Linked DNA regions of Drosophila melanogaster. The protein of the gene in region 2 interacts with the protein of the main gene of each other region in a pairwise test. Each region holds a gene or a part of one and is shown on either strand. Other genes may lie near its edges.

Evidence for each region.
Region 1: the proteins of Hip1 (region 2) and Stacl interact in a two-hybrid assay, tested with the Drosophila melanogaster proteins (one large-scale study listed by BioGRID).
Region 3: the proteins of Hip1 (region 2) and CG12811 interact in a two-hybrid assay, tested with the Drosophila melanogaster proteins (one large-scale study listed by BioGRID).
Region 4: the proteins of Hip1 (region 2) and CG7849 interact in a two-hybrid assay, tested with the Drosophila melanogaster proteins (one large-scale study listed by BioGRID).

Annotation. Positions count from the first base shown.
Region 1 is NT_033778.4:15,399,285-15,404,117, reverse strand, and holds the start of Stacl (Stac-like), read right to left. Parts: upstream 3,023-4,833; 5' UTR 1,735-3,022; intron 1-1,734.
Region 2 is NT_037436.4:12,767,878-12,775,538, reverse strand, and holds Hip1 (huntingtin interacting protein 1), read left to right. Parts: upstream 1-1,965; 5' UTR 1,966-2,228; coding exon 2,229-2,264; intron 2,265-2,319; exon of another isoform or gene 2,320-2,795; intron 2,796-2,955; coding exon 2,956-3,377; intron 3,378-3,436; coding exon 3,437-4,167; intron 4,168-4,223; coding exon 4,224-4,333; intron 4,334-4,397; coding exon 4,398-5,144; intron 5,145-5,200; coding exon 5,201-5,636; intron 5,637-5,702; coding exon 5,703-6,107; intron 6,108-6,164; coding exon 6,165-6,652; 3' UTR 6,653-6,977; coding exon of another isoform or gene 6,978-7,028; 3' UTR 7,029-7,107; downstream 7,108-7,661. Other genes in the region: CG32106 (uncharacterized protein), read left to right, coding at 6-83, 144-1,542; Vps13D (vacuolar protein sorting 13D), read right to left, coding at 6,978-7,028, 7,187-7,661.
Region 3 is NT_033777.3:10,046,700-10,050,711, forward strand, and holds CG12811 (uncharacterized protein), read right to left. Parts: upstream 2,099-4,012; 5' UTR 1,838-2,098; coding exon 1,718-1,837; intron 1,245-1,717; coding exon 1,142-1,244; intron 1,071-1,141; coding exon 682-1,070; 3' UTR 553-681; downstream 1-552. Other genes in the region: mtTFB2 (mitochondrial transcription factor B2), read left to right, coding at 1-15, 77-503; ohgt (ohgata), read left to right, coding at 2,597-2,618, 2,691-2,975, 3,041-3,680, 3,741-4,012.
Region 4 is NT_033778.4:6,075,082-6,078,597, forward strand, and holds CG7849 (uncharacterized protein), read left to right. Parts: upstream 1-1,828; 5' UTR 1,829-1,894; coding exon 1,895-2,024; intron 2,025-2,079; coding exon 2,080-2,292; intron 2,293-2,341; coding exon 2,342-2,952; 3' UTR 2,953-3,007; downstream 3,008-3,516. Other genes in the region: l(2)k09848 (lethal (2) k09848), read right to left, coding at 1-1,033, 1,090-1,177.

The DNA.
Region 1 (4,833 bases), on a different chromosome or scaffold from region 2:
ATGTTTTCATTTGGGAATGGACCCGGTGTTTTCGGTGGTCTCGTTTTCGTGCAACTAAAGAAGAAATCAGAATCAGGTCAGCGACAGTAACGGCGGTACCAAAAACTTGAAAGTCACTTTAAGGCTGCCACACAAAGCCGAGAAGAGAGCAGATGAAATAAATGTTAAGGTCAACATGGAAGGAAACCGAGATATGCTGCCCGAGCGTAAAGGCGGGAGTCAAACCAACAAGTCTCGAAATATTCACTTTGTAATTGGATGCTGTCGTCTGCTGCCTGCTGCATACCTTTATAGCCCAGTCGACCCTCAACAAAACCATACCAACGAACACCCACCGCCAGCGGCCATAAAAAAGGAGCTCAGAATGAATGCACATGGGCTTGTGTATGTGTACACCGCGAGTAAAAGTGCTGGAATCGAAGTGGGGTCCTTCAAGTGAGAAAATCCAAAGCGATGCAAGACATATTACAGAGAAAAACATAAATACTCTCCATATAATATTCCTTTAAACCCCAAGGAGTTTCCAAATCTTAAATATTTTAAAGTTTACATTGTCTAACCTATCTTGCAGTGTACCGGAGCCCAGCACTCTTAAATCAATACTTTTATTGTGTAATTTAAATCATTCAGTTTTCACCCAGTGTATTCGTATCTGTGAGTCTCCGTTGTTCTTCAGCGTTGTTTTCTTTCTTCACATAAAGTCGGTTTGCCTCTGTCTGTGTGTGTTCAGCCATTTTTTGTAGCCCCAAAGTTGAAGCGAATTGTCGTGTTTGTTTTATAGTTATTGCTTTTGTTTCGCTTTCGCCCATCGCAGTGCTCTATTGCCCAGCTTTTCCTACAGCTTTCTCCTTTTTTTCCCTAGCACTTTCCATTTTTTTTTTCATCCTCCTGCGGAGGAGTGCGCTCTTCTTGTCCTTGCCCCTCCTCCAGCTTATGCACATTTAATCTTATGACAGCAAAAATGTTGTAAAATTGTTTATGGCACTTTGCGACATGGTCAGTATTTTTACAGTTTACAGTTTACTCCTTGGGATCTTTTCATTTCGTACACATATGTTCCGGAACTACAGGAGCATTTACATGTTGCTGCTGGGCGGGAATGGGATTTGACGGATGGAATCTCGTGACGAGTGGGATTACGTGGATAATGGATGGAGGAATTGGGCAGCCGTGCGCAGGACCTTTGCAAAAAGCGACGAACTTGCAGGAGTGAAGAAAGTCACCAATGACACTTTAATTTCTTAACTGCATAGCATTCTTTTAATCACATTTCTCAGCTGTAAGTAGTTGCACTTAATTAATGGATACAGATTTGGGAATTGTGAGGTGAGTAAACTTAAAAAGAATTTTAAATGCACTCTGCCAACACGAAATATATGCAATTAAGAAAATTGCTTTAAAAGTAGCCAAATGACCATTTTAGTTTGTAATGATTTTTGTCAAACTTTAACTTTGCTAAAGAAATTATTTAGTTTATTCAAAACTTGCAGTAGTTTCTTTCACTTTGGCAAAACTTAAGCTTCCACAGAAACCCAAATTCATTTTCAATCAAGTTTTCAAAGCTTAATCTCCTTTATTAGTTGATGGCAAAGCTCTTAGCAAAATAAAATCATTGACAAAACTTAGCATACCATTTAATAAACTTCTAAATCAGACTATCCTTCCAAGTGGTAGAAATGAAGTGCCACATTCATTATTTTTCATTCGTTCTACACTGCTGTGATTTCAACTTACCAATTTCGAGAAAATGTTGGCCTTATCTGTCGTCGACAACCTGTTGGCTGCTTTTTCCCATTCACTTAAACGCTTTTCCTCTGATTCCGAATCTTATCTCTATTGTTGCCGCAATAATCAGGCGAATTTCATAAAATTCACTTGGCAAACGATTTGGTTTTCGTGTCAAAGCTCTGTCCAGTTCAATTTGGTATATATTTTAATCGAAATATATTTGCCAAGCTGTCTACATTTTGCTATATACCCGCATTTATTTGTATACGTTCCTTGTGTGGCCAGCAGATGTTTGTTAGTCTCGTTTTTGTTGTCGTTTAAATCTAAAAATTATTATTAGTAATTTGTTGGTCTGCAGACAGCGTATATCCCTCTCTCTCTCTCTCTTCTCTTTCAGGGGCTTTTCTTCTTCTATCGTTTTTGGGTGAAAATTGAAATTGGCTTTCAGCGCCTAAGAATTTTTATCACGATAATTTATGATTGGAATATGCGTGGTCAGTTAGCACTAAGTAAGTACATATATAGTAGACTCTCTCTTGTTAATATGGTATAGTATAGCTATAGTTCTGTCGAAAAATATAGTGTATTCCCTCCTTGTTCCTCAGGCTTCTTGTGTGTTGTATTTTTTTTTTTTTTTTGTTGCGAATTTTGGTCAGGTTATCTCTTTGTGTTATTGGGCTTTTCGGGCACACTTAGTGACTTGTAGCTTGGGGAGCTCTCATTATGGTCACGTTGAAACCGTTGTGGCACTGGCCCAGGCACACTCCACGGCGGAACGGGTTCAAATTGCTTGATTGCATTAATTATTCAGTGCCAACGTCGACGTCGTTACATCTACATCAGCGGCAGCAGGCCGCGCGCATGCCAAAGTTTACTTATGTAAATGCGCCGCGGTAGTCAAATAAACACAGAAACAGAAACTTTTCAGAGTTACAAGTACACACGCGGAGTGGCGATAGTAAAAATTTAAAGCATACTTTTCAGGTGAGCTGCGCTTTGATTTGCATCCAAAAACACAGTTAGCGCGCACACACACGCACGCACCAGGACTTAGGTGGCCAACACGCACACACTCGGACAAACCGACCAAACGACCAACCGACCGACCGACTAACCGAAATAGAAAGTACTGTGCTGGATACTTGTTGTTTCAGCGGCACGAACACCTAACTACTGCCACACTTGTTACGGCCTGGAGTTCAGTTCAGCTCAGCTATTGTTCAGCTGTTTTGGCTAAGTCTTTATTTGTTTGCCGTGCTGCTCTTCCGGCCAACATCACGTCCAGCTAGCGACTGAACAGTGGTTCCAAACGAACGGCGGCGACAACACTGCGTATACGCAACGTCCACAAGTCGGCTGCTTTATTTTCGGAATAGCTTGATGCGGCTGCGTGGGCAAACGAAGAGAAAGCAACTGGGAATTCCAAAGAGCGGGCAGGTGCTCTTGGCCAGAAAAGAGCAGTTATGGGAAGGGAATCAAGCAAGTGGTTGGGCCCTAAGCAAAACAATTGCCATGGAAGTTAATCATTTGGTGCCGATGGCGGTGTGAATACGGAATTCTTTATATACTAATTAATTGCATTACTAATGTATTATTCGACCGGCTCATAATCGAATAATGGAACTTTTTGACGTGAAACAATTTGTTTGCACAGCCAAGTGACGCGATACCGTACACATTCAGGTCAAAGGTTAATTTTTGTCCCTATCTCCCGACACATGTGAGGCCATTAAATAGCAGGACCAGCAGCTTGGTAATGTGTTATTAGAGGGGAGATGCGGCAGGATGGTAGTTGCCACAACAGAGGACAATTAATGAAGCAATCCACGAAGCAATCTGTTGCACTTTTGCCACGGCAATGCACGTAATTAAGTGTAAATTAAAACCAAGTTAACAGGTTAGAGGGCGAACGGAATGCAACGAATGGTGAATGTTCTAAGCGGAATTTTATTGAAATAAAATACCTCATTGAAATCCTCTACCAACATATTTTAACTTATTACTATTATTACAACTTTACAACAATCAGGGAGGGCGCTATAGACGAGTTCTTCGACTACCACATACCCTCTACTTAGCAGGGGTGATGTAAATGTGAAAGAGATTGCAACTAATTAAGTATAGTTATTTTAAAAAATTAGGCTTTCTTTAAATCGCATTAGTGAAAGAAGCTGTTCTCGTCTAATAAACATGGCTAAAAATAGGATTACCCGTTTACCCATCTAAATAAACGGTCAGCTAGAGCCATCTTTATGCTTGATCGCATTACAGTGATTATAGAAGTTGTTTACCCCAACCGCTAACCGCTGAATAGCTCCAAGAATTTGTTAGCCAACCTGGTCCTGTTTGCTGCCCATGGAATCGGGTTTCGCGCGAAGGTAGCGCAAATAAAAGAAACAAGCTTAAGCTCCTTTCAAATACCGTTCAAAGTTAGCAGAAAATCGATGCAATCGAAGCAACAGCAACAACAGCAGCCAACACGAAAGGACATCCGATTCGCAGTGGGAGATTTCGAGGAAAAGGCGGTGGGACAGAGATTATCTCGGTTGGAAAGTGAGAAAAGTTTTTAATTAAAATTCACACGCAATATGTTGCGCATACGCAGCGTTGCTCCGCCACCATCTTACCACAAATTCCTTGCTCATTAGCGTTCAAATTGTGCGCATATCATGTAATTTAGATTAGATTGAAATTGAAAATGTTAAGCGAACCAAGTGGCTGTCTCCAGCCAGCCATCGGAATTTCCAAGAGGGTTGATTTTGATTGCGTGGTCGGGGGAATTATTGCGGCTTTGGCTAAGCTCCTGCTAGAGAGTCCAACTTATAAATATTAATAAAGCCAGCAGCGTGGATCCTTCGTCCTGCACGGGCACATTCGTCAAGTAAATGAAGTCGTCATGAATGAAGCGGCCAGCAATAGAAACAAAATAAATAACTTGTGTAAAAATTCCATCAGTAAATTGTGGTCCTGCTCTACTCTCAATTTTTCAAGAGGTCGACAAGACAAATGGCTGATCAGCTGGAAATGTTTACATTATCTAATCAAAAATTATTCTAAAACATAGTTTAAAATCTATTTTTATTTATTTGTTTATACTTCATTTAG
Region 2 (7,661 bases):
TCCAGAGAAAAGCCACCAATGGTGCAAGTACCATTTCGTATGAGCAGCACTGAAGAATTGGGCATTTCCCAGCCAAAACAATTGTGAGTGTTCTTCTTTTCCGACAATTATGATCTCTTACTTTTAATCCAAACATATTTCAGGAGGAAATTTGGTCTAAACTTCACCAGACTCAATACCAATCAATTTCAAATGGCACCAGCGACTACAAGACACGTTCGACTACAAACCCAGAAAACAAAAAGGACGAAGAATCGAAACTGCAATTCTTCTGTTGGCCAAATGAACGGTGTATTTGTTCTAGCTTCTTCGCCATCTACTAGAACGAATACAGCAGAGCAATCTATTGAAAGGAGAAATAGGAATCTGCAGAATCATCCAGGCGTTTCTGATTCTTTGAGTAACAATCCACCATCCTCAGAAAATAGACGAAAAGCCCCATCCCAAACATCTTACCCAGTACTTAGACGTATTCAAAGAAATGATTCAAACAATTCGCAAGGCGGAAGATTCATTTCGGCCAGCAGCCAATATCCTGACCAGCACAGACAAGATGAATACCTAGCTTGTGATAGAAATAATAGTGACCAAAGCCATCGCGATAGTCATCAAAACGAGGACGGGTCGCATAATTCAGCTATGGTTGGAGCTTCTGGGTATTCTACTGACTTAACTTGGACAGATCCACCTCCGAACTCCCAATTACTAGCTCCCAATACATCGACTGACGTGGAAACACTGGAAACGGTAACCCTAATGCAACCTCGAAAACTTCGTAGTTGTGAAAGTGCTGGGATCAGAAACCAGGCAAATATCAATGGGAACACCGTTCTTATAGAGACAAGAACTCCCTGTAACAGGGAAATTCTACTCCAGACCTGTGGACGACCGCCCTGTAACTCGTGTCCTTATCAATACACGGGTCTTCCTCCGAGTCTCCATCAAGGATTTACGAAGCCACCGGATCATATGCTACAACCGCAGATCTCTGTGAGTGCTCCACAAAATGTCACTCCTTTCGATGAAGGGTACCTTATAGATCCGCGGGATCAGTGGATGCCCACTAAGTCACCAGCTTCAGCACCAGCCGTGCAGCATCAATTTCAAATGAAGGAACAATGTCAGCCGGATCATGGATCCTATCATCATTTTCAGGAATCTGTACATACTTCAGACCCAAGTTCCTCTCAGGCCAGAAACCCTGACTACAATCCTCAACTAAAAGAGAACATTCGAATGCTTCCAGATGGATTCTATGAACGCACCGTGAATAAGTATAATATAACACGCATGGATTCCAACTTCCAGCCACCGGAATTTTCACTGCAGCCAAATTTTGTTCACGGAGAACAGCATCCTACTTTCAGACACCACGCTTGTCCTTATAGCAATCAATATCATCATCCGCAACTGATGATGACATCCGTTCCAGATCCCAATCGACGTTACATTCCACCACAAAACCAATACCCAGCCGAGATGTTTTGGCCACAGCAAAATGTACATTTGGATTACTATGATCAATCGGAATACCAAATTTAATCCAAACAGTTGGAAGAATACATTAAATTAAAATTACTTTAAAAACAAATTAAAATTGTCGTTCTTTTATTTAAAGTAAAAATATGGTAGCAGATCTATAAATATCGAACAAAATCTATCTTTTTAGAAAATCAGTACACAAAAATTTCAAAAACACATTCTAAAGCTTTTTTTTAAACCATCGTATAAAATCAAATTAAATTAAATTTTTAACTTAACTGAAGTTTTATTGAAAGCGTTCGATGTTATAATTTAAATATTGGTTCATTTAAGTGTATTTCAATTCAAATATCCTTCGATTTAATGGAAAAAAATAAAAATTTGCAAAACATTTTTTTTCGCGCTCAAAATGGTGATGCAAGAAGTTGATGACTATCGAAACGAATCGATAGGGTAAAGCCCGCATATCGGAACACCGCCCAGCTCTATTAACTTTTATCGATAAAGGAAAACAACATTTGTTTATATGACTAATTTACTCTTACACTCATTGTTTCATACACGCACACGATCGGAATCCGAATGAATACGAACGCGACCAATACGAAAACAATGGCCAACATTGTTGATAAGATAAGATAACTCCCGTTTCCAATGTCTTTGCTGTCTTTGCTCTAATGCACATATATCGCGCTGCGAATGATTCGAATTTGTTCAGCAAGTACGCCAAGAATTGTCAGTAAACAATGGCAACTCACGCCGAAAAGGAGTTCTACCACCTGGTACGTAAGCCCAAAGGAAAGCCAAGAAAACCGCCAAGAATACCCACAGCAGATTATAGGCACACGGATGTTGTCATATCATGTGCATAGTGTAAATACCTAAATGTTTATGCACACAACTACAGGCGCGCCGCTCAAATATGCATAAACATTTCACTTAAGAAGTCAGCCTTGAACCAGATTATATGGAACAGCTCGAAATATCATCAGCTTTTCACACGACTTGCAACACCACAGAGACTACACTACATGCTAATCCCAAGTTTCTCCGCTTCGGATGACCCAGAAAATTAGAAACTGCAATGAATGCTATGCGGACTACATCCACTTTGATCAATTGTTCAATGTGCACACAAAGGCCTTTCAAATTTTTTGATTATCAACCCAAATTCGGCACGATAAGAAGTGAAATCCAGTATTTAGATTACCTTCTGTTATCATAAATTCATATCAAACACATGGTGTAGGTGTTTGGAATCTTATTTTTAAAAGCATCGAAATGTTTGCACTTCCAAACTAAATAGTCGATCAGTGAGTCACCCCCTTTAGATCGAATTCCACTAAAAAGTATAAAACTATAGATATCGTCCGCCAAAATCCGTCCATATCTTATAAGCTGAGTCAGTCACTTCTTCGAAAGTGTACAACAATAAAAAGCCATTTAAACTATAATATTTACATTTCATTTCAGAACGTCAGCGTGTCCAAAGCTTTAAATGGCCTGGAAGCGCCACTCAAAACCAAACATGCCCGCTCCATTATTATTATGATACACAAGGCCAAAGAGGCCAAAACATTCTGGATGATCATCTCCCGGCAGCCTTTGATGCAGAGTAGATTTACTGCCTGGAAGTTTTCGCATCTGCTGCACAAGGTCCTGCGAGAGGGTCATGAAAGTGCCATCCGCCACTCGCAGAGCCACAAGAAGATGATACTGGAGGTGGGAAAAATGTGGGGCCTGCTGCAGGACGATATTGGATGCTGCATACAGGCGTATAGTAAGCTCTTGGCCACAAAATTAAACTTCCACGACAAAAATCGAATGTTTCCCGGCACCCTGAACATTTCGTTCACGGAACTCTTCATTGCTGTGGATAGGGATTTAAATTATTGGTAAGTAAAAATAGATATATATTACTTTCAAACTACTGAGACAGAACCATTGATTCCAGTTTTCAACTGTGCGTGGAAATTTTCGACTACTTGGAGGATATAATTGCGCTGCAATTGACGATATTTTCATCTATGGAAAAGTACAGAATGTCGTCGATGACACCGCAGGGACAATGTAGATTAGCGCCAATAGTTTGCCTTATCCAGGATTCCAATGCGTTGTACGATTTAAGCGTTCGGTTAATGTTTAAACTACACGATGGTGTACCATACGACGTTGTTTCCGGACACAGAGATCGCTTTCACGGTCTGTTTTTAAAGTTGAAGAGTTTTTACAACAACGTGCGACCGCTTCAGTATTTCAAGGACCTAATAACAATCCCGGAATTGCCGGACTCAAGTCCTAACTTCAAGTCCCAAAACGATTTCACCAGTTATGTACCGCCAGTGGTTCACGTTCCCCAGGAGCCCGATCCGGTTGTTGAAGACCTTGTGGATACCAACAATCACGAGCTGGAAGCCTTCAGTCAAGCCCAGCAGCAGCTTAGCATGTTGGAGGGTATAATCAGCGAGAAAGAGGCTAGCATTGAGGAGCTGTCATTCAAATTGGACGCAATGCAAAAAAATTTCGACGCACTGCAGCAAAGCTACAGACACGACGTTCAGGAGTTGCAACAGAACAATACTGTGCTGTCAAATGATCTGGTCTTGGCGAGAGAAATGTGTGCCACCTTTCGGATGCAAAATGACGATCTTGAGATGCAACTGAATCAGAACCCAATTCTTTTACGTAATTAAATGCTTATTAAACATAATGAAGTCATATAAAAATACCTTGTATTTCAGAAAAAGCTATGGAGGAAGAAGAAAAGCACAAGTTGTCGTCGGAAAAGTTTAATAAACTTAAAACTCTATACACAAAGATTCGAGATGAGCACATTCAGCTGCTGAGAGAGGTATGCAGAAACACAATATTTTCTATTTCCTATACTAATATTCATTCATATACTTTTATATCAGCAAAGTGATTGCAACAAGTCCTTAAATAAAGAGAAACAAGTAAACTCACAACTATTGTTGGAAACTAAGGAGCTTACCAATGAAATTTCCAAAATTAAAGTAAACGTAGAGGAAAAAGAGAAAACAAACTTGATTCTGCAAAAGCAAATCGAAGAGCACAAGGAGAAAATAGCACATCTTGAAGCAGTCAAAAACGAGATGAAGGAGAAATTCGATGATGTGGTTAAACAAAAGGAAATTCAGGAACTCGATATTATTTCCACTTCCGAAAACCTGAGGCTAAATTGCCTCAAAGTCGAAGAGCTTAATGGAAACCTCAATGACACCCTGGAAAAACTGTCGAACGCCGAAAGCCAAATAAATGCAAAGACCGAGGATATCGAGAAAATGCTAAAAGCTTTTGAAGCGGAAAAGGCATTGCTCTTAACTCAGATTGAACAACAGAGTGTTGAAAGTAAAAGCCATAGTGAAGCTCAAAACGCTCAATTGCAAGAAATAATGGATAACTTGGAACAAAAGGATAAAGAGTTCAATGAAGTTAAGCTTCAGCTGTCCAGCGCAGAAAGCCAAATCAGCTTAAAGGCATTGGAAATTCAAAACAATTTAAAGGCATTTGAAGCGGAAAAATCAGTGCTATTAACTAAAATAGAGCAGTTAGGTATAGAGCATAAAAACAACAGCGAAGCACAAAATGCTCAATTGCAGCTAACTTTAAACAACTTGGAGCAAAATGAGAGTGCATTACAGGTAAATGAAACCAATTTAAATCAAGAAAATTATAGAAACTGCTTTTCTTTCTTCAGCAAACCCAGGAAATTGTGAATCAATTGAGGCAGGAAAATGCTTCAGCGGGTCAGCGTAACGAGGATTTGCAAAGCAAACTCTCGCTTACTGAGGTAAAACTAACCCAAGCAACACAGCAAATTGATGCCGTGACAAGTTCGTACCAAATCTGTAGTACCGATTTGAGTGAACTCAGAAAATTGGTGATCAAGACTGTAAAGGAAATATGCAATTCGAAGTTGAGCGGATCGGAACAACAGCCTTTGGATGCGGTGCCAAACATAATACGCGAAATGGAGACCATTTTAAATAAGTTCAATAACGCATCGGCTATAAACTATGTTGCTTCAACCGAAGGACTGCAAAATGTTATGTATCTGGGTTATGTATTTATAAAACTATACGATCAATGTGATGTTATCTACAAAACAACAACTGCAATTGAGACAGGTCAGGGTAAGTTGATAACACTAAAAACATAACCACCTACAGCAAACTAACTTTGTATTACTTATTTTGCAGAAATTTTCTCAAAAACAAATTTGTTATGTACCGATATCTGTCAATTGTTCCAATACTTATTAAATAATGAAACAAAAGAACCCGAGAGACAGAAAACAATCACTGATATACAAACAAAGCTGAGAGATATTGAAAAGCTGATTGAGAAAATAAAGGCATCATTTGAACAGAAGATTGATTTAGATAAGCTGCTCGAAATCGAGCTTCGCGAGATGGACGCTGCGATTGATGATGCAGCCTCCAAAATTACAGATCTACTGGCAAAGGCTCGAGAGAAGGACAACCAAACCAATTTAGAGGTAAACGGAAAAATAGTGGATGCGTGTACCACCTTGATGGAATGTGTCAAAGCTCTAATCCAAAAATCTCGTCTCCTGCAACACGAAATCGTGGCTTCCCAAAAAGGTAGCTAACAATATTTTTTAATTCAATGAAGTTACTGACAAGTAATTACTCTTTCAGGAAATGCGAGTGCTAATGAGTTTTATAGGCGGAACAGTCAGTGGTCAGATGGTTTGATATCCGCCTCGAAAAGTGTGGCGAAGGCAGCCAACTATCTGGTGGAAGCTGCAAACAAGGCTATTGAAAGTGAATCTGGCAAGAACTTTGAACTCATTGTGGCTGCCCAAGAAATTGCTGCCTGCACGACCCAAATGGTTATTGCGAGCAAAGTCAAGGCTGAACGTAATAGTCAAAAGCTAACCGACCTCACAAAAGCCTCGCGAAGCGTAACGCAGGCAACAGGAACTCTGGTCGCCACCGTGAAGGATTGCAACTCCCAGCTGGAGCAGCAGAGTGAAATAGAACTTTCTAAGCTAACGCCATCACAGATTAAAACGATGGAAATGGAAATTCATGTTAAAGTACTCGAAATCGAACAAGCTCTCCAAATGCAACGACTAAAACTCTCATCGTTTCGTAAGGAGCATTACAAGAATGCCGATTATTAAATACCATATTTATTAATGTTACTAACTTTACAAACATTCTTTTTTGTATTAATGCCCGTCATGACAAATAATATATCTACACAATATTTACACTGCGGTCATTTTATCCTACAATGAATCCGTAATATCTGTTTATAGTATTCCGTGTCGATCGCTTTTTGATCCTTGATTTATATCACACCATAGTATGTGGGTTCATTATTTCTTAAATGTTTATTTTACTTACTACTTGAAATTAAAATAGCACTTATTGCCAAAGAAAATAAAATGTAACATTTGTTGTCAAAAGGTTTTTGTTTATTATCACGAACCGACCTATTGCATTTTATAAAACGGCATGTTCACGTTCATCAAAGACACTTTTAGCGTAGTTTATCTAAAAGAAAAAGACAAGTATGGAATATATGTGATAATCATTTCAAAATTTGTAAAAGTAAATAAATTATATGATAAACAAAGTCTGCGCTTCAACAATAATAGTTTATTATTGAAAGATAATTTCTACTAATTTCTGCTAAGATGATTTCTACTTACGCATCTTGATGCTGCCTCAGCACATTCCTCGGAACGACACCGTATCCTGGGCCTGGTAATCTTTGGAAGATTGGTTGATATCTCGATGTAGTGACTGGCCGACGCCCTGCTGCTCGTGGTTGGCGTTGTGCCGGCATTCGTTACCACTGGATGGCACGAAAGAATCTCACTAACATGACATTCAAACATAATGGTTGGATTGGCGTCGCTTAGTGAAAAGATTCGTACGTATTCTGTAGAAACCAGCAAGCGCAATCTAGCCTCCTTGTCGCTCCATAGATTGGGTTCATATGAAATTATCTTCTCCGAAAAGTTCTTTTGATTGATTAGGTACAGATATTGCTGCCCCTTGCTTTGGCGATTGGAATACAATGGCAAAAGACCACCAGGAGCACCAGTCACACATCTGGGTAGCCTTTTCCTTTCCGGAGCGTTTCTGTGACTATCTCGGCTTGTTTCACGAACGGCACTGGCA
Region 3 (4,012 bases), on a different chromosome or scaffold from region 2:
AATACCCAATTTAGAGTAGGTAACACAATCAAATCATCTGGGGTTATTTTTATAAATTCAATTATTATTTGTGTAGAAAGTGGGTTCCCGGCTGTGGACCTCGGCTTATCATTAATCCGAAGTCCTCCGAGTCCGTAACACCCATCTATCCAGATGAATTGCCCAAGAAACTACCACAGTACTCGTGCCAGAGTACTACAATGAGCACCAGAAACTACTATCCCGGCATCAACATCTACACACAGTTCGGAGATCTCCTGCCCAGTCAGATTCTGACGCTATTTAGTCAGTTTCGTCAGTGGCCGGAGTACGGCGAGAGCTCTTTCCTCGCCTCGCTGGAAAATGCGCTGCTCAAGCTGGAGACTGCCAATGACGAACCAAACCTAGAGGATGGCGTCACGTTGCCAGAAGAGGATGATGCCGAAGCAGATGAAATTATCGAAGAAGAAAGCCCTGTACCCGCCACCACTCCCGTCAAGAGGCGCAGGAAAGCCAGTTCTTAGTTGTACATAATAGCGTTTTGCTTGTGCAAGAAAAATAAAGAATTGCCTTCATTTTGAGAAATGGTATGTAATCATATTATATCTGTCTTAAACATGGAACAAATTCGCTATTCTTCACTGGCCTCCACACATTACCAAACAGAACACAATACATTTAAGCACATAATGTTAAAATCCTTTAAGGACACTTTCCCTGAGCCATTAGGCGACTGCCGCGTGCGCATTTCTCGGCCAAATCAACGTAGTATTCCGGCGGAGCCTGCTCCGTGTCCGAAATACGCGTCTCCAGTTGAACGGACAGCTTCACACAGTCCACCATCAAGTTGGTGGGATTCACGCCAAGTACAAAGGAAGCCTCCTGGTAAGGACACGGGTTTTCTTCCTTCTTGGTGTTTCCGAACTCATAGCATGTGTCGCGAATCATAAAGTGTCCGTCCCTGTTACATGGATTTCGTACGCACTTCGGGATGATCTCCTCCTTGTAGAGCACCAGAATCTGTCCAGCCTCACAGGGTCCCTGTCGGTAGGCCGGATAGCAGCCATCGGTCTCCGGGTAATACAGTGTGGCTATCGAAGGGGAAGTACCCATACGGAGATTATTATGTCATCGCCATGGTAGCTCCATTATGACCGCTCACCTGGCGCGCAGTCGCAAACCCAGTCGTTCTGCTTCTGCTGGTCCCCCGGATAAAGAAGCTGGTGCTTGGGGCATCGGGCTGGCGAATACAGTGGCTTGCGACCCTGTTGATGAGGAGAAAGCGGAGGGGTGTGAGGCAGGAATTCGATTGATTATTGCCAATGGGGCTTGCATACACTACCAAAACAGTCCCCGTATTTTGAAATTCACTTCAAACACACACTTTAGAAGTTTAAAGGTTTGAAACTCTCAAAGTCACCACAGTGATAAAATAAATGTATTTCTTATTTTTAACAAAAAAAAAAATTTTTCAATCACGTTCAACAGTATCCATACAATTAAAAGTCTGTTATTATAATTATTTAACTAGAACCTTAAGCTAGTTTTAAAATCAAAGCAATCATGAAATGTTTTTGAACATTGGTCACTACACAAAATTCCTAATTGGACTCCAACGACTTTCACTTCTGATTGGGAAGGGTATTCGGCGAAAGATGTTGCCCAGTTCCGGCTGGGTTTTCTCTTCCATTTTGGCGTTTCTTATCACAAATGTGGATTGTGTCTGGCTGCAGCTTACCGCAAGGTTGGCCTTCTTCTTATCAATGTCTTGATCCTCAACAAAGGCGATTTGAGCGTGTGCCACTTTCCCAATAAACGCAATAAGCGCGGCGATCAGCAAAAGTTGGGGATTGATCATTGTCCGTATAATCACTTGTTCATGTGATACTCACGGCAATTCAAACAAGTATGAGGCTGGCCAATCTTGACTTAATCTTAATCAATGGGAAACGAAGATCTTCGATAACGATAACGATCTTAGTTGGGTCCAGTTATGTTATTGTTTTACGTTTTCTCGGAAATATTCCAATATTCCAATTGGAAGTTTAGTGCGAATAACCAGAAAAGCAGAACAAAGTGAAATTAAAACATAGTCCAATAAGGGCCAGTTCCAATTGATATTGCTCTCCCGATTACATCCGCTCTTGCTAGTGATGCTCAATACTCAATCAATGCTCAGCTGTTTCTATCGATGAGTTGAAAAAAATAACTTTCTGATCATATAAATTTAAGCCAAGAGAAAAGGGAAAAACTTAAAAAAAATATCTGCACACTTACGTTTGCTTTTGAAATATTGGATTAAGAACTCCTTGTTAAGTAATGCTTAGTTATATTGTCTTCCTATGAGTTGTGGACTACCAAATTACTAAGTGTATCAGAAATTAAAATTGAAAATCGAATAATTTGTTATATAGAACGATAAGCATTACGAGTCTATTTTGGCGCCCAACTACCGAACATTTTCAAAATGTTGCCATTATTGGTTAGCACTGGTTAGCCAATCGCTAACTATCGAAAAGCTCCCATCTCTTATTTTCCTTTGTCAAAATAAAAACCAAATAAATATATATAAAATTCACCTGCAAAACGAAGCAACAAAAGACACTGTACGGCTCAAATGGACGAAGAGGAGAACTCAGGTGGGTGTGGCAGCATCATAGCACTCGCCAAATGTTCCCAATAACATATGTTCATCATATGAAACTGCGCAGAAATCAATTCTGTGCAAGCACGGGATGAAGATGTGCAATTGGAGGACCAACAGTCACAGGGGCTCCAGGATCGGCAGGTAGACGTGATAGAACAGGCTTGGAACAATGCAATGCCAGACGAGCCGTCACCGCCGGCAGAAGATGCCTTCCAAGATCCACTGGCCACCGATGGTGAGGGAGGGGATGCACTTGAGGCCATGGTAGAGAACGTTTTGCAGGACGACACAGCAAGCGAGGGCAGTCATCCCAGCAGTGACATGTCTCTGGAAAGTCCAGGAAGTGAAGGTTAGTTGGCTTACAATCGTTGTGCTGCACATTCCTACTTAACCCGCGTTTTCCATCCTTTCCAGATGATTCCGATCTGGAGAGCCTGCCCCATTGGATGATTCCGCAGAACCGACTGCGCTCCGCCGTAGACATGATGGTCTCGCAAGCCCGCAATCGGGATGGTGGAATCGCTGCACTGCTCAGTGGGGACAACTTCCTACAGCGAGTGCGTAGCATGGTCTTTAGCCAGGAGCGACGGCGCAGTCGCACAAGCGAGGAAACGAGCCAGGAGGCTGCCGAGCAGCCCGTTGATCCACCGCCACAGCAGCCACCTCGACCACCAATCGACATTGGCTTTGACACCAATCTGCCAGCGGAGCATTCATACTTCGGTAATCATTTGAGTCGCGTGCCCGGAGTGGACTACTTGGAGGTGGGCAGCGTCCATCACATGCTCATCTTCTTGCACCAGCACATCCTCTTTCCCGGCGAGGTGCTTCCCTTCATGATCGACGGCCGAATGTTTGACGAGGATATGCCCGGTCTGGACGGTCTGATCTTCGGTGTAAGCTTCCCGCGTTTGCAGCCGCCGGAGGACAACCCACACAAGTTGTATGGGGTCACGTGTCAGATCTACGAAAGGGGCGAAAGCGGCCGAGGATTGGTGTTCTACAAATCACGAGCACTGCAGCGCATTGTCATCAACTGCGATGATATAAAAGGGTGAGTCTTGACTATACGGATCACCTTAAATTCTCCATGATTAATCCCATATCTTTTCAGGTCACCGCAGTACATTGCTCGCAATCCAACTAGCAAATGCTTCAGCAAAGTCAAAATATTGCCCGAGTATTTCCTGCCCGAACCGCTCCAAACTGTTGACATGGGCTCGATGGCCAGATTTCGGGATATACCCTCGATGCGCGACAAGTATCGCAGGTTCCAGCTAAGCACTACCACCTGGCCATCTGATGCCTGCCAAGAGTATTCGTTTTCTTCAATTGTGGAGCGAGCACGCCAGAGGCTGGAGTCCCAAAAGATAGACACAATGCCAA
Region 4 (3,516 bases), on a different chromosome or scaffold from region 2:
TCAAACATATCCTCGTATTCATTGTCCACAGATGTTGCGTTGACGCTCTTATTTTCACTCACGTTTCTATCCATTTGAAGGTCAGCGACCTCCTCAGGTTCTTCTGTTACTCGTGCCTCGTTTTCAAACGGTCGGATAAGAATCTTAGTGGCCTTTGATTTCACGTAGCATTGGTAGAGCAGCACTGTGGTTTCGGAATCATGGATACGAACGTATCGGTCTAGGCTTGCAGAGCTCAGAAAGCGACCGGTGGCATCTAAATGAAGGTCACTTATCCCGCCTGTGAATCCCTTGTACGTATGCACATGAGTTTTCATGCGTCGAGTGTCAAAGGCTTTTAGAGCACCCATTGTGGTACCCGTGTAAATAAAGTTTCCCTTTGCCACTAAAGTCGTAAAACTCATCCCGTGCTCCTCGCTGGCAAAACATGCAACAGGTCGACGCTGCTTACGCGTGTCATAGATGCGAACATAGCCGGTTCGCGAGCAAGTGGCCAGTACACTAGGCCCATCCACAAAGCCGATATCGCTGTCCCAAACCGGAACCTCTAGCTGCAGATAGTCGTTGGGCAAATTCTTCGAGGTGAAAATCTGCTTACCGTCGGCATTTAAATCGTAGACCTTTAGATTGTTTTGACGCTCTTTGCCGCCAGTTGCTACAATGCTTTTGACTTGGGCGCACTGGCGCAGGTGGTCCATTTGGTCACCCGTGGCGATAACCACGGGCTCGGACTCGTCGTTCGCCTCTAGCTCCAGGCTCTGTATCTCTCCGTTGCCAATGCCGGCAATAAGCTTGTCATTGTATCGGGCCAGACCAACAATTGGCGCAGCATTGAAGGATACTGTGTTCCTAGAATGTCCCTTTTCTGTGAAGGAGTGAATCTCCACGGCGTCCTTGGCCCGGCCTAGAAGGATCTCCGTCTGATCGTCGTTGCCAAAGGCCAGAGATGTGACGCGGGAATCCTTATCCAGGGCGCACAGATCACTCAGGTTGCTTTGTCCATAAGGGGTCTTCTCGGATGCAGGCACCAGGTCTAAAAAGTTGAAGTCATTATTATTATGCTGTTCGATAAAGAACAAGCGGACGTACGTTTAAAGGAGCCCGTGTGTGTTCCCACATACAGTTCGTGCTTCGCCGTGTAGTTTACATGTTTGGTATTTGCAGTAGTCCACTTCATCTCAAGACGCGGTTTCTCTCAATACTTGCGATTAAAACGTGAATTAATGGTATGCGGCTATACAAATTCGTGCGGTCAAAACAAATCCTACACGTGCAATAGAGATGTAAAAGACATATGCTTAATAATCGATGTTATCGTTTATATCGATATCTAACGGCCACCGATATTTTAATAACATTTAGGGTAGTCACTAGGCTTCAGTTTGCTGTTTACCAGTTTAAAACATTTTTTTCGTTGAAAACCACTTCTCTTGTGAGAATATAGTGATACGCATAAGACTTTATTTGATTATAACTTCTTTAAGTGCAGTTTTGTTGTCATTTTAAATGCAAGCAAATAGTATGCAAGCCACAGTGAGAATATTCCCGTGAAATTTGTAAAATTTATAGAAAATTTTAGCCCAATCGGATTTGTTTCTTGTTTTTTCGTGCGGTGGACTTAATTCTTGTTTTGCAGTGATACAAGCATGTTTTTTTGCGGGTATAAAGACCACAACGTTTTGAGAATTATTTCCAACTAAACTTTTTTTTAGAAAATTAAAGAGATATTTGAAAACAACATTTTATATGTAAATTTTATAAATTAAGTTTCAAGTGCATGTCTATACCCTATTCAGTACTGGGCAGCACATGTGCTCAGCTGTTCGTGTGTGTTCACCAACACTGTCATGTGAATTTAAAAACAAATAGCGCACATACGTAACTTAAAGCAGAAATGGCTCTCACCAAAGTTTATGATGCCGCCACAGTGTTTAAGCACATGAATGGCATTCTAAATGTGTACAAGCCATCCGGTATGAAGGTGAAACACGTGCGCAATGCTATTCTGAGCAACATTTGCAAGGGTAAGCCTAGCGCCATTTAAAGAACAAATTGAAATTAAAAACAGATCTGCAAAAGGACTCAACGAAATGGAGCAGAGGAAACCACGCAAGTTGCAAGAGAACATTAGCCTCCTGGGCACAGGCACTGCAGCAGATCACGTACTACATAACATAGGAGAGCAGACGGATCTATCCGACCACCTTCTGTCCACCGGACCGCGGTACCTTCCGCGAGACTTGATCTGCACCACAGTGTCCAGCCTGGGCGATCACACCAGCGGAGTCCTGCGTAAGTCATGTAAAACATTTTAAATCCAGATCTAACCATACTTTTGTAGTCTTTGGGATCAACAGGGGAGCAGGCCAGTCTAGTTCTATTCGGAAAAATCGACCAGTGCGGGTCTACCATCTAATCGGGCACCTAGGCATCGCAACCGAAAATAACCTACCAGACTCACGGGTCATAATGCGCTCCAATCACCGACACGTGTCCGCAGACAGGATCAGCAGTCTAGCCGCCTCCATGCAGGCATCCCATCAGCGTAAGATGTTTGAGCTCTGCGGTGTCGATTTGCAGACCCAGGAGGCCTATGAACTGGCCTGTAGGGGTCTCCTACGCCCAGCGGACGACAGTCAGCCCGTCGTCTACGGCATTAAGCTGATTCACTTCGATCGACCGCACTTCACCCTGGAACTGCACGCCATCAACGAGACGCAGGAGTACTTAGCTACGCTAGTGCACGATATGGCTTTGGACCTCCGAACCGTGGCGCACTGCTCCCAACTACGCTGCGTGCGGCATGCCCATTTTGATGTGACAGATAGTCTGCTCAGACACGCCTGGCACTTGCCAGGAATTATCAAGAACCTCCGTCAACAACGTGACATCCTGAGGGCGCATCCACAGCTTCTGCGACAACAGCGAGTGGAACTGCGAGCTACAGATTAATTTAGGAATTCATTGTAATTGAATATAGTCAAATAAATATAGGCAGATAAACTATAAAGCAGTCAATCAGGTCAATAATTCTGGTAATAATTTTTGATAAGAATATGCAGAATATCTGCTTATTTAAGTCAGCATAGTTTATTGACGGTTACAGTTCAAAATAGGTCATTTATAAAAAAAAAACGTAAGACTCTAGTTTAGTAAAAGTAAGATGTTTAAAACGTGATCTTATTAGAAGCGGTAGCCAAAAACCATACATTTCACAAATTTTTTTTGAATTAATTCTAAAAACAAGGGAGATTGCTATAGTTGATAACCTCGACCCATCGAAGGGTCAGTTGTTCCAAATTATGTAAACTAATTTCTTCGGTGCTCAATATCATTAAGAAGTGATTTTTTTCAGGAAATGTGTCATATACCAAACCTTGTGAATTTCAATGGTCACGCAGTTGGTAATTTAAAGAGAAATAGGTAAAATTTGAAAATAAGCTATATAATTATAGCTCTACAAAGACATTTAGGTTCAGTAGGAAATAGATATTTATAGCTGTTTTCCCGGTTATC